2 linked regions of the Caenorhabditis elegans genome follow. The protein of the gene in region 1 interacts with the protein of each later gene in a biochemical or structural test. Each region holds a gene or a part of one and is shown in the gene's direction. Other genes may lie near its edges. The genes, in order: kin-3 and cgh-1.

Region 1 (8,178 bases):
ACCTGAGAATATCGATCTTTGAAAAGTTCATCCAAGCTTGTACTTTCTGTCATATTCCTTTTATAAAGCTGAAAATAATAAAATTTCGGAAATTCCAATTAATTGAAGAGCGTTCGAAAAAGATTATCAGTAGAGCGCACTTGCTTTTTAAGCGGTGCGTCATTTTTTTGCTGATTTTATCGTGTTTCCTTTAAAATATTCAATTTAATTTAATTGCAATCTCAATTTACATAAAATTATGTTCTTAATGATTATTCCTAAATGTATCACATATTTTATCTCTGAAAAAATCAATAATTTCAGTAAAATATGGGTCTCTTCTCGCATCTCCTGACGATGGGGCTTGGAGCATACGCCGGAGCGTACTTTGCACAGAATTATGAGGTTATCTTTTATTTTGATTGATTATTGATAATTTATTCAACTGTTTTCAGTTACAAAAGCTTCCATCGGCCAGCGAGATGATGAAGAATGTGGAAGACTATCTGAAGCAATACAAAAAGGATCCATGACACCACTCCCATAATCAATCAATATCTAGAATCTAATCATGAATAAATTTATATTTGCCACAAAAAGTTTATTTTCACATCGGTCTGGATATACAGGAAAATACGTGATGAAAAATGAGAGATGGAATAAATTAGAATTACGCAGCGGGGAAGAAGAAGTTGGAGACTGAAAATCATTCACTTGGGGTGGCTGGATGGTGATTCAATAATAAATAGGATAAAATACAATAAAACAACTTCACAGGGACATTTATTTCTTCTCCTTGTCATCATCCTTCTCCGCATTTGCAGCAGGAAGATCGTCCACAATTTGCTGCAAAAGTTCTGGGTTGTTCATCAAATCATCAAGATTGTCTCCTCCAACTGCTGGAGCTCCATCCACATCCATTTGTTCGTGTTGTACTTGTGGCTGCTCAGCCGGAGCATTTTCCTGCATTGAAAGACGAAGAGCCCATTCCAATTGTTGCTCTTCAGTCATCGCTCCCATGTCCATTTCTTCCAATGGAACAGCAGCAGCCGCAGCAGCAACTTCGGCATCAGCTCCAGAATCCGCGGCACCTCCATTTGCAGCAGCGGCGGCGGCTTGACGAGCTCGTTCCTCTTCCATTGAGACACGAAGAGCCTAAAAAGAATAATAAAATGATTTTCCAACGCAACCAAAAAATAATTTCCTACTAAAGCCAAATCTGGATCATTTTCAACATCCATTCCGAATGCATTATCCATTCCGTTTCCACCTCCACCGAATGCAGCTTGCCCATCTTCATTTTTGCATACACTTGACTGCAACAACGCGTCTGTGAGGGAAGATCCTTGTGGAACAACGATCAAGGATGAGCCGCTGCCTTCTTTTCCGTTCAATGTGTCCACGAATGTTGAGAATTTCTCATGTCCATCGGATTCATTTTCACCGAACATGATGACGTCGCACAGAACCTTCTCTTTCTTCATTTTCTTTGCAATCTTCACGAGCTCATTCATTTCAATTTCCTCGAGAGGTGATCCGATGAAGAGAACAACGCGCATCTTATGATTACGGTTTTGACGATGTTTCAGAGCAAGATGAGCAATCTTGATACCGGCGATAAAGTTGCATTTTCCGAATGGCTCAATGGAATGATTCTTCATCATCAAACGTCCTTGTTCTGTGGACAGACTTGACAATACTTGAACACTGCTGAAAAGGAAAACATTGAAAAATTTCATGTGTTACCGGAAATCAGTGATTTTTGCGCCAAAAAACGGTACTGGGTCTCGACAGGACATTTTTCGCTAAATACAAACGGATGTGCACCTTTAAAGAATACTGTAACTTCAAACGTTGTTACTGAATTTTCATCGATTTTCCAATGAAAATTCTAGAACGGCGAAAGTTTGAAACTACCGTACTCCTCAAAGGGGCACACCTTTTTGCATTTAACAAAATATCTTCGTGTCGAGACCAGGTACCGTCATTTTAGCGCAAAAAAACGTTCGAGTTTGAGTAATATACGAACTTTGCCATTGACAGAATTCCAACAGCATTCTCCGGATTGGCACGCAACTTGCATTGTGTAACAAGATTTACTGCATCCTGTTGAGATTGGAGCCGAGTTGGTTGGAAATCTCCGTTGCGCATGTATTCCGAATTGTCGACACTGAAAAGTAAATAATATTGCCATTGTTCGTATTATTCAAGAAAAACTCACCAAATCATAGTACTTTCTTGAACCATTTTGGAAATGTGTTGAGCACCTTTGTATGAACTCTGTAGAATGTGAGAAATAAAATTAAATTTAAAACAGTTTGACGAATAAATGAAGGAAGATATTAAACGGTGATTAAACCGTGAGCAAATAAATTAAAAATTATTTGAAGAATCAAATACAAATAAAATCGATTTTTTTCAAACAACAAAACAAGAATAACAAAAATAAAGAATTGAAACACATTAAATCTAGTCTGATTGATTATTAGAATTCTAATGTGGAGTTGTTGGTGCATGCTCTTTCATGTGCTCGAAAATTGGGAAATCTTCCGTGAAATCGTTATTTTTACTGTACAATGGGAACTCTTTTCGGATGGAATATCGAGCCAATTCCTCGTCACGTGGTGTTGTCAGTGTAGGAGAAATCATCTGAAAAAGGGAAATTCAATAATTTTCTACAACTTTTCAATCTTTACCTGTTTGGATTCATCTACTGAAATATGTGTAATCCTTCCTAACATAGGAACAATGTATTGTTGATTTACAACAACGTAGAATCGGAATAGTTTTGCTTCGATATCAAAATTCGGGCCAGAAATTGGTTTAGCGGCGAGGAAAATTGTATTTTCAGCAACGAAAACTCCCATTTGACGAAGTGAGCTTTTTACAAGATTCCTATCAATCGTCCATTGATTTTCCATATTAACTTTGATTGGAATGACCATTTTTTGCAAATCTCGTCCAACCACTTTGAGCTCATATGGAATTCTGATTCGAGAAGCAAGTTCTTCAGCCATTCGCTGAAATTATTATTTGATTGAAAAATATAAATTAACATTAAAACCCACTGTTTTCATATCTGAATAGTACTTTAAATCAAACGGCGACGCGTAGACGGCTTTTTTAGATAATAGTAAATCCTTTCGGGCCAAAGTCCGATCCACACTAACCACATCGAACTGATGGCCAATTCCTGTAAAAATGAATTTTTTACATTTGCTTTCTTTTATTTTAAAAAACTACCTTCAACATCTTGAAGTAAAATCACATTAATCGGACCAGCGGATTTTTGTGTTTCGAACTCAACAACTTCGTATTTCTGGTAATCGTGGAAATCATTGGGATTTTTCTGTACTCCGCCGGGCGGTGTGACTTCTGGTTGGAATACTCGGCGCAATACCCATGTGTTCTGAAGAAAAACATAAAATAACTTATTAATTGCTTCAGAACTTACTCGGCTTGCCTGGCGATTAATATGTTGCACAAATCGATGAAGCTGTGAAGCTGAAAGCATAATTACCTGAAAATATCAATTTTAATTAAGTGTTTCGCTGAAAATAAAGTGATTTCATTCTAAAATACAGAAATAGATGAGAAAAGAAAATGCGCGCCGTTGTCGATGATGACAAATTTAAAGGCACACCGACTTTCGCAGCGGGAATATCTCACCACGCACGAGTTCACATTTGGTTTTTTCTCTGCGCTCTCTCGCATTTGCGTACTCTTTTCATGTTCTGGCATGTATTTTCAAAATTATTCGGGTTTTATCAGTTTTCCCGAGATTTTACTATTTCTACTGAAAATTTCGTTCTAATAATTCAATTATAACAGCCGTTTTGTCAAAACTTGCTCAAAAATAACGTGTTACTTGTTTCAGATCGTTATTCTTGGGAAATGCCTCCGATTCCTAGCCGGGCGAGGGTCTACGCCGAGGTGAGCAAGTTTGTATAGCCAGGAGTTAATTATTGAACAGAATATATTGCTCATACATAACTCACAATGACGGAATTAACGTTATCCGTTTAGTTGTGGAATACTGTGAAACACTGTACGCCACATTTGTTAGATTTTATAAATGTTCATAGGAATTTATAGTCTCGTAAAGAAAAACTATTTGTAAAAGTCACTAAATTATGTTTTTATGAGTTTATATATTATAAATCACAATTGTTTCAGGTGAATCCGTCGAGACCACGCGAGTACTGGGACTATGAGGCTCACATGATCGAATGGGGACAAATCGATGATTATCAGCTGGTACGCAAGTTGGGACGTGGAAAATATTCGGAGGTTTTTGAAGGATTCAAGATGAGCACTGACGAGAAAGTTGTTGTCAAGATTCTCAAGGTAAGTTTTACAAAAATAATTGTAATAAAGCTTTCAAAATGTAATTTGTTTGTTTTCAGCCAGTCAAAAAGAAGAAGATCAAGCGTGAGATTAAAATTTTGGAGAATCTTCGTGGCGGGACAAACATCATCACCCTCCTCGACGTCGTCAAGGATCCTATTTCGAGAACTCCGGCTCTTATTTTCGAGTTGGTTTACTATTTGAAGATTTTTAGAATTAATAATTTCTATTTGAAGGCATGTTAACAATTCGGACTTCAAGCAATTGTATCAAACCCTCAGTGACTATGATATCCGTTACTACCTCTACGAGCTCTTGAAGGTACTTTTTTCAGCTGTCCATTAATTTTTGAATTCATAACGTTTCAATTTATTCTCCAGGCTCTCGACTTCTGCCATTCTCAAGGAATTATGCACAGAGATGTTAAGCCGCACAATGTGATGATTGACGCCGAAAAACGGGAACTTCGATTAATAGATTGGGGATTAGCCGAATTCTATCATCCAAGACAGGACTATAATGTTCGTGTTGCTTCTAGATATTTCAAGGGACCCGAGCTTCTTGTCGATTATCAATGTTACGATTATTCGTTGGATATGTGGAGTTTGGGATGCATGTTGGCTAGTATGATCTTCAGGAAGGAACCATTCTTCCACGGCCATGATAACTACGATCAGGTAAGCACTTTAAGCTGAAGTAGCAAAGAACCGCAAATCCACAAATTTCATTAAAATCCAATATTGGAATATAGAAAACATTTGATTTATCTGATTATGGCTTTTATTTCAGTGAGAACAATGGGGAAAAACGCTTAAAAAATTACCGGAAAGTTTAAAATTTCCGAAAAAAACCGAAAATTTTCCAATTTTGAGCATTTTTCAATTGTTCCAGCTGCAAAAAACTATTTTCAGATAAAGAAATTATTTTTTTGAATTCCATAGCTAAAATTTTACTGATAAGTTTGGCTTATTCCGTAGAATTTCTTGCCGGCGATTGATTCGCACCCCTGAGCTGAAATTTAAATGAATAAATAATATTGTCAGGTATTTATTAAATATTCATCAATAATTTTTATGATTTTTAATATTTTATAAATTCACGAAATCTGATTTTCTTATAAAAAGTTTTTTGCAGCTAGTCCGCATTGCAAAGGTATTGGGAACTGATGAGCTTTACGAGTACATTGCGAGATATCACATTGATCTCGATCCACGCTTCAACGATATTCTCGGGCGACACTCAAGAAAACGCTGGGAAAGGTATATTTTGATCGAAGCGAAGTTTCATGTTTTTCTTAAAATTCATTTGTTGTAGATTTATCCACGCTGAAAATCAACATCTTGTCACCCCAGAGGCTCTTGATTTCCTTGATAAACTTCTTCGCTACGATCACGCGGTAAGAATCGGAAAAAAGAGAAATTACACCAAATTAGTTACTGAAAACCAGTTTTAACAAGAACACAGAGAAATAAAAACAATTTTCACTTGTTTTATTGAAAAAAAAGACATTTGATACTCGAAACTAACTATAAATACTTTTATTTGTTAAATTAATTTATTTCCAGAACTTTTAATAAATTTCACCATATTCAGGAACGCCTAACTGCTCAAGAGGCCATGGGTCACGAATACTTCCGCCCAGTTGTTGAAGCACATGCTCGTGCCAATGGAACTGAACAAGCTGACGGACAGGGTGCATCGAATTCCGCTTCTTCTCAATCCTCCGATGCCAAAATTGACGGCGCTTAAAATTTCTTTCTATTTTTTTTTTAATTTTCCTGTTGACTATTTCCTTTTTTATTAATTTCCACACCACTCCTCTCCATCATTATTCCTTTGCTCTAAAAATTGGCTAAGATATTAAATCTTCCCCGCTTCTCCGAAAATTTCCCTCTACGTACCACAAAAGTGCCTAATCTTTTCGTGAGAAACGTTCTTTGCAAATTCTATTTTTAGGATTTTTTTGTGTAATTCATGCCTCTGAAATTCCGTTTCAATTTTAAATCTTTTTTGTCCCATTTCATATTGTTCTCCTTCTTCTCCCCTTTCCTCTTCCTCAAACAACCACAATCATCATTTTTATAAATCGAATCACAGTTCGTGAGAAAAAAAACTGTTACTTGTAATCAATATTGTCTTTGGTTTGAAAAACCTACTATTGTTCCTATGTTGAGTTGTGAACTATGTTCACTTTTAGAGTTTTAGATTTAAAATGCTCAACGGACGAGTGCTCCTTCGATCGATTGCTCGCCGGACAATGGCATCGAAAATTGAGCCAGGATCTCCGCAGCCGATTTATTTGGATGTTCAGGCTACCGCGCCAATGGTAATTAAATGGAAATAATAAAGCATGATTAAAAATAATATAAAAAACTTGTATCTGGAAAAAATTAACGAAACTTTTCAGATACAATTTAGATTTCGAATGAGTTTTTTTCTAACCTAGGCACAGTTTAAGCTAGTAGGCATTCTAAAATTGCGGCTTATGGCCTAAAAAGGGCCTAAGCGAACAAAACCAGCAATAAATTATGATAATTATATGAAAACTGATTTACGACAGCGCTGCGACACTGAAAATATGACATTTTACAATACTTTGAACCCATATAATATTTTTTTTTTTATTTTTCATAAATTTTCAGAACATTTCATTGCGAAATTCAGTAGTTTGAGACCATTTTTGGTATTTAAAAAACCAATTTCTCAGTTTTCGGTTCTCTAAATGTGACTAAATTATTTTATTTCCAATTTAAGTGAAATCGTAGCTTAAGAAACTAGGAAAAAAATGTGCTGGGATTTTTTTTGAAATTCCAAATTTTAATATTTTACAGGATCCTCGAGTAGTCGACGCAATGCTTCCCTATATGATCAATGATTTCGGAAATCCTCATTCAAGAACTCATTCATACGGATGGAAAGCTGAAGAAGGCGTTGAACAAGCGAGAGAACATGTTGCAAATCTTATAAAGGTTTTTTTTTCTGAGAGTTTTATTCAATTTCCTTGTATTTTCAGGCAGATCCTCGTGACATCATCTTCACTTCTGGAGCCACTGAATCAAATAATTTGGCGATTAAAGGAGTTGCAAAGTTTCGAAAACAATCTGGAAAGAATCATATTATCACGCTGCAAACTGTAAGATTGCTATTATTAGTCCGCAGAAAATTCGCTTAAAACGGATTTCGCCACCAAACACCTAACGAGACCCATGGTTTGGAGGCGGAGCGCGTTTTCACATAGATTTCCAAAAGCGCATTTTTTGCGTCTCCATAATAATGAAATTAAAAGAAAAACGTTTATTTTCCAGGAGCACAAATGCGTTCTCGACTCGTGTCGATATTTGGAAAATGAAGGATTTAAAGTGACATATTTACCAGTTGATAAGGGAGGAATGGTTGATATGGAGGTACTTTTTTCAGTTAGAAAATATAGGAAATATCTGATATTTCAGCAACTTACTCAATCGATTACCGCGGAAACATGTCTTGTGTCTATTATGTTTGTCAATAATGAAATTGGAGTTATGCAGCCGATCAAGCAAATTGGTTTGTTTTTTTTTTCAAATCAGAGAAATACCCCAAAAAAGAAGCTAAATTTAACTAAAATATCTAAGTTTTTCAGTTTTGACTCTCTCATCGCAGAATTCAGTATTTTAAGTATTTAAAAGAAATTTAACGAAAAAAATAAAAAATTTCAGGTGAACTATGCCGTTCAAAAGGTGTATACTTTCACACAGATGCCGCACAAGCTACTGGAAAAGTTCCAATTGATGTAAATGAAATGAAAATTGATTTAATGTCAATTTCTGCGCATAAAATCTACGGACCAAAAGGTAATTTTCATTCTTCAGATTT
Region 2 (7,830 bases), on another chromosome or scaffold:
CTGGAATCCTCTTTCAACTGTTGGAGCCAATCTCTCTACTACAGCTTGATCCATTCCAACTTTTTCCAGATGATGTCGTAAATCTTTCCGTTTTTCTCGATCTTCTTGAACTCTGAAATTTTACGGATATAATTCTTTCGAAATTCTTTTTTAGCAATATACCTCTGCAATTCCATTTTAAACATTTCCATTTGACTGATCTTTGGCTTATCTTGTTTCGCTTTCGAGCTGCCAGGCTTCGGGGGTCTTTGAAACGGCCTCGTAGTTGGCACGACAACTTTCGGCACTTCTGTCATTTTTTTGCTTCGTGCTACGTCTTCCAGCATCCTTCGAGCCTGAATATAGTGTTTCTTATTTCACTAAAAACATCCGTTAAGAAACGAACACATCTCTACCAATTTAAACAATGTGAAGAACTAAGCGCATGAAATTTATTAATTTTACCTTCGCGGCTGCTAATTTTTTCGCTTCATCAAAATCTTTGGATCCAACGTTCGAAGTTTTAGACGGAATGTTCATTGAAAACTTTGGTGCATAGATTCCACCGTCGCCAGCAGCTGAAAATTCAGTTTATATAGTTTTCAAATGGATTTTCTTACAAATCTTATTTCCCTCGACAACATTTCCTCTCAGAAAAGTTTTAGGCTGAGAAGAAACAGACGAAGATTGTCCAAAGTCTGCTTGGAACTCCAACAAAGCATCGTTCAACTTCGCCTCCTCATCGTCAGATGTCTAAACTTTTAAATCGGTATTATTAAAGCTTGTGACACTTAGAAGTTGACAAGGAAACTTACTTTCTTTCTCTTTTTGGACCATTCCATACTCATATTGCGGGGAAATTTCCCGGGAAATAATTTAAAATGTTAGATTTTTCCCAGTAAATGGACCAGGCACTGACAATGCGTCAGCAATTATGATGAAACGCGCCAGCAACCACTTTGGCGTGTTTTCGGATCTCGGCGCGACTTTTAAGTAAGGAAACATTTTATTTTTGAAAAAAGAAAGAACAAAATAATAACGTAATTAATTTCAATTCATGAGTTACACGCAATTTCATATTATTATTAACATTTAACGTTCAAATCATATAATTCATAAATAAAATAACAAACCATTTTTAAATAATTTGCATATAAGAATTATGAGTCTATCTCCTCCGCCGTTATTCAATCTCGATCAAGTTTGTTATCTGTAATGTTTCTGCCTTTATAAATAATTTTAAGGGATCTTGGAGTCCTATTGCTATAAACATGATTTGCCTAGAAGCTTTACAAACTTGGTACCAATCGGTTTATCTTGGATCTGCTTATTTCTGTAAGAAAATAAAAAGTGGAAAAATATAACAACTAAAATTGCAGATATGAAGACAGAGTCGTTCGTGTATCTGTCACTTGTTTACATTCAATTTTCGTTATTTTTTCTAACAAGCATTTTGATAGTTATATATTTTATATCATACAATGGAGTCCAACGTCTCAATGTTATTACGATTACCACAAATGTAACGTTTCTTTTGACTCCTGTTTTCAATTAAGATTTTCAGTTTATAAAAATGGTGGTGGATGTGTCCTGTTTCGGAACAATTTATTTTGTTGGCAGCTCGAAAATATTGCCTATTGTGGATTTGGCGTATTTCAATTGTGTTATCCAACCGTGTCGGTTTCTTATATTCATCGTATACTGCCATCACGGAGCTAGATGTGACGCATATCACAGATTTCTGGTTGAATATGAGGAGTTCGAATTAGAAAAATGAGGAAATCGAAAAACGATAAAGTAATCACATTACTCATTACATTTAGAACTAATTATCCTTTAATAAATTTTCATCGACGCTGGTATATTCTTTTTAATATTTAATTCATTATTATTCTCAAGAAATTTCGCATCAAATCTTCGTAAAGTTTTTCATTGAAATCTAATTTTGAATTACCGCCATTTTGTTTCGCGCGTTGGCTGAGTATTCAACTTTTGTGTGTTGAATGTACGCAGCGAAATGCCTCTCACTCGTCGCTCGCAGCAGCTTGGCCTACTCGTCCCGTCGCTCTCACAGTTTTTCTCTCCACACTCTCGTTTCTTCGCACATTTCCTTCATTTTGGCCGTTGTTCTCCACGTGTTTCTGTGTTTCTTCTCTAGATTTCTAAGAGTTTTAGGCGACGATGGCAGCTCCAATCTGTTATCGACACTTTCTTGATAGATTCAGTCGTTTTCCGAAGATTTTTATCAGTTTCGTAGCTCAGAAACCTGTTTTAAAAAACGATAACAAAAAGTGTTCTTTCAAACTTTCGAATGTAAAATATAAACTTTTTCGCGTTTATTGTTTGGAGAGTCGCTTAAAAACTGGAAGGTATCAATAAAAAATTGTCGTGATTCTCTGACCTTTTGAAATTGTTTCTTGTCAATTGCCACGTCGTCAAACATCGGCTACCCTGTTGGCTAGATACTCCAGCAACCCAAAGAGTGTCTGTGCGTCTCTATGCGCCGCCGACCACTCGCTTGCTTTTTCTAACCGTCATTGATCGTGTGTATACGAGCGCGAGACAGACACCGGTTGTCTCGCATAAATATTATCTCAGTGTTATTTAGCGTTCCTCCTAATTGTTCTGAAAATGCTTGAATGATTTTTCCATGACTAACAAAATTGTAGTAAACTCGATAGGTATCATTTTTTCGCATTAAAAACTTATCTTCCTTCATTAACAACTTCTCAACTTACACCATTAACAACTTCTCAACTTTAATCTCGATTTTACAGATCTCATCAGGAAATCAAACCTACTACGACATCGGAAAATGAGTGGAGCGGAGCAACAACAGATCGTTCCTGCCAACAATGGCGACGAAAACTGGAAGGCTGGTCTCAATCTTCCAGCAAAAGACAGAAGATTCAAAACTGCTGTGAGTTTGCAAAGCCTATATGACTTTGTGACCATTTCATTTTTCAGGATGTCACTGATACGAAGGGAGTCGAGTTTGAGGATTTCTGCCTTGGACGCGATCTTCTCATGGGGATTTTTGAGAAAGGATGGGAAAAACCGAGTCCTATTCAAGAAGCATCCATCGGAGTCGCTCTCACTGGTCAAGATATTCTCGCAAGAGCTAAGAACGGAACAGGAAAAACCGGAGCTTATTGTATCCCTGTTATCGAGAAGATCCAGCCAGCCCTCAAAGCTATTCAAGCCATGGTCATTGTCCCAACTCGTGAATTGGCTCTCCAAACTTCACAGATCTGCGTGGAGCTCTCCAAACACATTCAGCTCAAAGTTATGGTCACTACCGGAGGAACTGATCTCCGTGATGATATCATGCGTCTAAACGGAACGGTTCACTTGGTCATCGCCACCCCAGGAAGAATTCTCGATCTTATGGAGAAAGGAGTCGCCAAAATGGAACATTGTAAAACACTTGTTCTTGACGAGGCTGACAAACTTCTTAGTCAAGACTTCCAGGTAAAAAAATTAACATTTGAATAAGATAACAATTCTCGTTTACAGGGAATTCTCGACCGCCTCATCAACTTCCTCCCAAAGGAGCGTCAAGTTATGCTTTATTCTGCCACTTTCCCTAACACCGTCACTTCGTTCATGCAGAAGCACATGCACAAGCCGTATGAGATCAACCTCATGGAGGAGCTTACTCTTCTTGGTGTCACCCAATACTATGCCTTTGTTCAAGAGAAGCAAAAGGTCCACTGTTTGAATACGTTGTTCCGAAAACTTCAAATCAACCAGTCGATCATCTTCTGTAACTCTACTCAACGTGTTGAGCTTCTCGCTAAGAAAATCACGGAAATCGGTTACTCGTGCTACTACATTCATTCCAAGATGGCTCAGAATCACAGAAACCGTGTCTTCCATGACTTCCGTCAAGGAAACTGCAGAAACTTGGTTTGCTCCGATCTTCTCACCCGTGGTAAGTTTGACTAAATAATTTGCGCGATGAGGATTGATAACACATACACACACTCTGAAGTTATGTGAAGAGATAATTGAAGAACGGATATCTGAGCGCCATTTTTCTTATTTTAAAGTGTAGTTCATGCATAATTGTAATTTTTCAGGTATCGATATCCAGGCTGTCAATGTTGTCATCAACTTTGACTTCCCAAGAAACGCCGAGACTTACCTTCACAGAATCGGTCGCTCTGGACGTTTCGGTCACCTCGGAGTTGCAATCAACCTTATCACCTACGAAGACCGTCACACCCTTCGCCGTATCGAGCAGGAGCTTCGTACTCGCATTGAGCCCATCCCGAAAACGGTTGACCCGAAGCTGTATGTCGCTGACCAGCAGCTCGTCGATGCCGCCGATGAGACCACTGCTTAAACACTAGTTCTCATATCCCCAAACCTCCAAAACACACTGGTCGCCTACGTTTTTTTTTTCCATTCTAGTGATCTCGTCCAGATTGTGTATGTTCTCTATTTTCCTTTAAATGCACAGTTTGTGCTAAATTTAATATTGTTCAAGCATAAGCATCTTTCCTTCCTGTTTTCTCAAATCCCCGCACATTATTTGTATCCCATCCACCTTCCCGGACCCCATCAACCCGTTCCACTTATATGCGGTGTAAAATTCTAATTTTTCTTTTTCATTAGTTTCCCCATACCCTCCAACTTGCAGTCATGGACTGTAACTCATTCAAGTCGTTGTGTTTTACATAGTCATTTAAGTTGGTCTTTATGCTCCCAAAGTAAATTGTTTCGACATTAATGTGTCGTTGCAAAATATATTTGGGAGTGTAAGGACATTGTTCATACACATCGGGTTCTTTTTGACGTGTATCATACTGGGTAGCCGGCTCTGTAGTTATTCTGTTGAGCCGCACCACATTGATCAATCTTGTAATTTCCTATCTCATTTCCCACAATTCTCCCTTCATGCCCCATACCAATGCATCCAAAATTTAAAACCACCATCCTTGCGGTTTTCCCTTGCCCATCTGTAGGGTTTTATTCCGCTCTTGTGCTCATTCCAGTTCAACTTGTCCATCTCCTAATCTGATAGATATTTATTGCAACTATTATCATGTCAAATGGCTCAAAGACTATAATGTCTTGGAAGGCTTCCGGCTGGCCATGTGTCTCGCTTACAGCTCTTCCCCCATCCCCATTCCAAAACCATTTGTTCTCTCCCGCCTCCTCCCTCTTGTTTATTGTATAATTTGTAGAAGTTGACACCAAAAATTTGCACAATTTTTCGATTCACAAAGGATGTGCAAGCTTCCTTCTGGATGATTGCCATCTTTAACAATAAAAGACCGAATCGAAACATCGTCTTCTGTTATTTCTTTTCAGAGTTTCATATGAAGAGGAAAGTAGTGAAAGCCTTGAGAAAAACCGAAAACCCACAAGAGATACATTAAAGCACATTAGCGCATTTCCCGAGTGAAAGACCATGTGAAATGAAAGTAACAAAATGCGACGATTTACTTTCGTTTCTCGTATTCCCTGGCAACAGCAGCGGAAGGCGTTGAATGTGTTGACAGTCAGCCAGCGGCAATGGTTGAGGTCGGTATTCAATTTACTGTTTCTCTCTTGGATGTGTCATCCGGAGAGGTGATTGCCCATCCGTATCGGCACCAGTAATGCGCGCCGCGCACAGTAATATTAGTTGATATTGCGGTGACGGGAGAGGTCGGAACGTCTACATTAATCTATTAGTGTGTATTCGGATTCCGACCGCAATGACTTTGAAAATTCTTTTTAGTTTCATTTTCTCATATGCTTTTCTATATGTATATCCTCGCCTTTTGTAATATTATGCAAATGTTAACAATCCGTATCCGTCGATGACAGGCGGCTCGAACCGGTCTGAATTGGATTGGAATTCTTTGCGCGATATCCGCAGAGAGACAAGTGATGGCATCGAAACTATTTTTTTCTCTGATTTTTATACGGTTTAGGCATCTTTTTTTTTAATTTTAATCAAATAACAAAAGTTTATAAAAATATAACTTTTTTGACCAACTCCATCGATAAATCACGAGGTTAGTCTCGTATTACTCACATTTACTGCATTGTACAAAATGACCATTTTCAGAAAATTTTCCAGACGAACGCGCCCGATTAATAAATTGAAATAGTCTTTCATTTTTCGTTGATGATGTTATAATGGAAAATAATGCGAAGTACAACAAAGTTTTATTGCCCAGACGCGAAATGTTGCGAGTTTTACGTAAACGGGTGTGCGCCTTGAAAGATTACTGTACTTTCAAACTTGTGGTGATGCGGAGTTTTCATCGATTTTTCATAGTTTCACGATTTGTTGAAATTTAAATGTCTTAATTGTTTCGTATTAGTATTTTAGTAAATAAATATTTTTAATCGAAAAACTATGGTAAATATGAAAAATCGATGAAAATTCCGGAATTAATTCCGCAGCAACGAAATTTAAAAATTACAGTATTCTTCAAAGGTTTTTATATTTTATATAGAAGGATTTGTTAACTTTATTATTTAAAAAATTGTTTTCATTTTCCCTCATTATTTTTTGTTGACCATTTATATCGCAAAAAAGTGTATTGATATTCTAAACAGCGTTGATGACCACTTAAGTGTCAAAAAAAGAATGAAAAACGGTTTTGAATTGAAATGAAGGAGAAGTGGACGGTGTGATACATTTCTAAATAAATTCTTTTCAAATTTCAAATTCACTTTTTTACACTAAACAATTTTTGATCGGATTTTTGAGTTACAAAGAGCTTTAACGTGGAGCTATACCTATTTTGTAAAACTTTTCGTCAAAGTTCTGAAGGTACAGTAAAGTGGAGTTTTTTCTTGAAATAAACTTAAAGTTGATCAAAAAGGCTACAAATTAAAATAAAATACTTTAAAATGTTCAAGATTTTTCAGAAATTTAATTTTCACTCTTGGCAAAATGTCAAAACCTATGTAGTTTTGAAACATAAATTTTTTTTTGAATAATTGCAACATTATTTGTGAATTCATGCAAAATGCAAAATGGGCGTAAAAAGTGAAAAAGTTGGACAAAGAAGAGGTTGAAATGCCATTAGGTCCATTGGGTCAACCTTTCGAATAATGAAAAACTGGATTTTTTTCTCATTTTCTCAATGTCTACTCATTTTTCGATGTTCCATTTACCATTAGTAACCGCAAGGAAAAAAAACAAACTATAGACTACTTAAAAACTATTACTATTAGAAGTGATATTATACATTTTGAAATAGTTTATGCTTTTAATTGATCTTTGGAAATAATAATAAAAGTTTATCATTTTTCCATAAAAAGATAAAAAGACAAACTAAATTCATATAATTTCCTAGGATGTCTATAGAACAGAAGTTAAAAAATACAGATGTCTGAAATTCTGGTTTAATAATTACTCGGCATACCAACTGTTTGTACTGGCAGTAAGAAAACGAACCCACCAATTATAGTCCTTCAAGTTCCGTTGCAAACATGGGTTCTTCGTATCTTCTTGTTTTTGTGTTTTTATTCACTTTTGGAAAAGTTTTTTGGAAAACTTTAGATTTTGGTATATCCGTAAATTCAAAATCTGTAGGGTTCTAACACGATTTCCAAACGATTCAAAAATGTATCAGAAAATCCAAATTTTATTATACGTATGTTGTCTGCATATTTCTTTCTCTTTTGATCTGATTTGACCGTACTCGGTGATTTCTTTGTGGATTTTTAGTTTAAAATTTTGCAGGAATAAAAGTTAAAAAACTTTTTTGGAAACATATGATTAAAATGGGTCGCCACAACTCAAATAATAAAGGGTCGCTCTGATAACGTACGCAAAACTGGAAGTTTGAATAGCAAAATCGCTTCAACTTTCAGCTTAGACTTTTGCCCCATTTAAAC

The links.
Region 2: of the proteins of kin-3 (region 1) and cgh-1, one has a biochemical effect on the other in vitro, tested with the Caenorhabditis elegans proteins (one study listed by BioGRID).

What each region holds. Positions count from the first base shown.
Region 1 is NC_003279.8:10,730,166-10,738,343, forward strand, and holds kin-3 (Casein kinase II subunit alpha), read left to right. Parts: upstream 1-3,856; 5' UTR 3,857-3,873; coding exon 3,874-3,912; intron 3,913-3,977; exon of another isoform or gene 3,978-4,091; intron 4,092-4,155; coding exon 4,156-4,326; intron 4,327-4,385; coding exon 4,386-4,513; intron 4,514-4,562; coding exon 4,563-4,647; intron 4,648-4,706; coding exon 4,707-5,003; intron 5,004-5,460; coding exon 5,461-5,585; intron 5,586-5,640; coding exon 5,641-5,722; intron 5,723-5,919; coding exon 5,920-6,075; 3' UTR 6,076-6,450; downstream 6,451-8,178. Other genes in the region: B0205.8 (TFG domain-containing protein), read right to left, coding at 3-53; B0205.12 (YtxH domain-containing protein), read left to right, coding at 310-384, 435-512; rpn-10 (26S proteasome non-ATPase regulatory subunit 4), read right to left, coding at 763-1,134, 1,188-1,689, 2,009-2,149, 2,201-2,226; mrpl-9 (Large ribosomal subunit protein bL9m), read right to left, coding at 2,473-2,628, 2,676-2,999, 3,048-3,172, 3,223-3,388, 3,434-3,493; nfs-1 (cysteine desulfurase), read left to right, coding at 6,584-6,652, 7,158-7,295, 7,340-7,459, 7,632-7,730, 7,776-7,869, 8,022-8,156. UniProt on the Caenorhabditis elegans protein: Casein kinases are operationally defined by their preferential utilization of acidic proteins such as caseins as substrates. The alpha chain contains the catalytic site. May participate in Wnt signaling.
Region 2 is NC_003281.10:7,492,759-7,500,588, reverse strand, and holds cgh-1 (ATP-dependent RNA helicase cgh-1), read left to right. Parts: upstream 1-2,756; 5' UTR 2,757-2,794; coding exon 2,795-2,899; intron 2,900-2,946; coding exon 2,947-3,450; intron 3,451-3,495; coding exon 3,496-3,913; intron 3,914-3,934; exon of another isoform or gene 3,935-4,012; intron 4,013-4,061; coding exon 4,062-4,327; 3' UTR 4,328-5,269; downstream 5,270-7,830. Other genes in the region: sap-140 (U2 snRNP-associated SURP motif-containing protein), read right to left, coding at 1-112, 163-335, 445-557, 600-732, 795-827; C07H6.9 (Serpentine Receptor, class Z), read left to right, coding at 1,142-1,180, 1,224-1,314, 1,359-1,501, 1,544-1,756. UniProt on the Caenorhabditis elegans protein: Probable RNA helicase required for oocyte and sperm function. Also required to prevent the physiological germline apoptosis mechanism killing essentially all developing oocytes.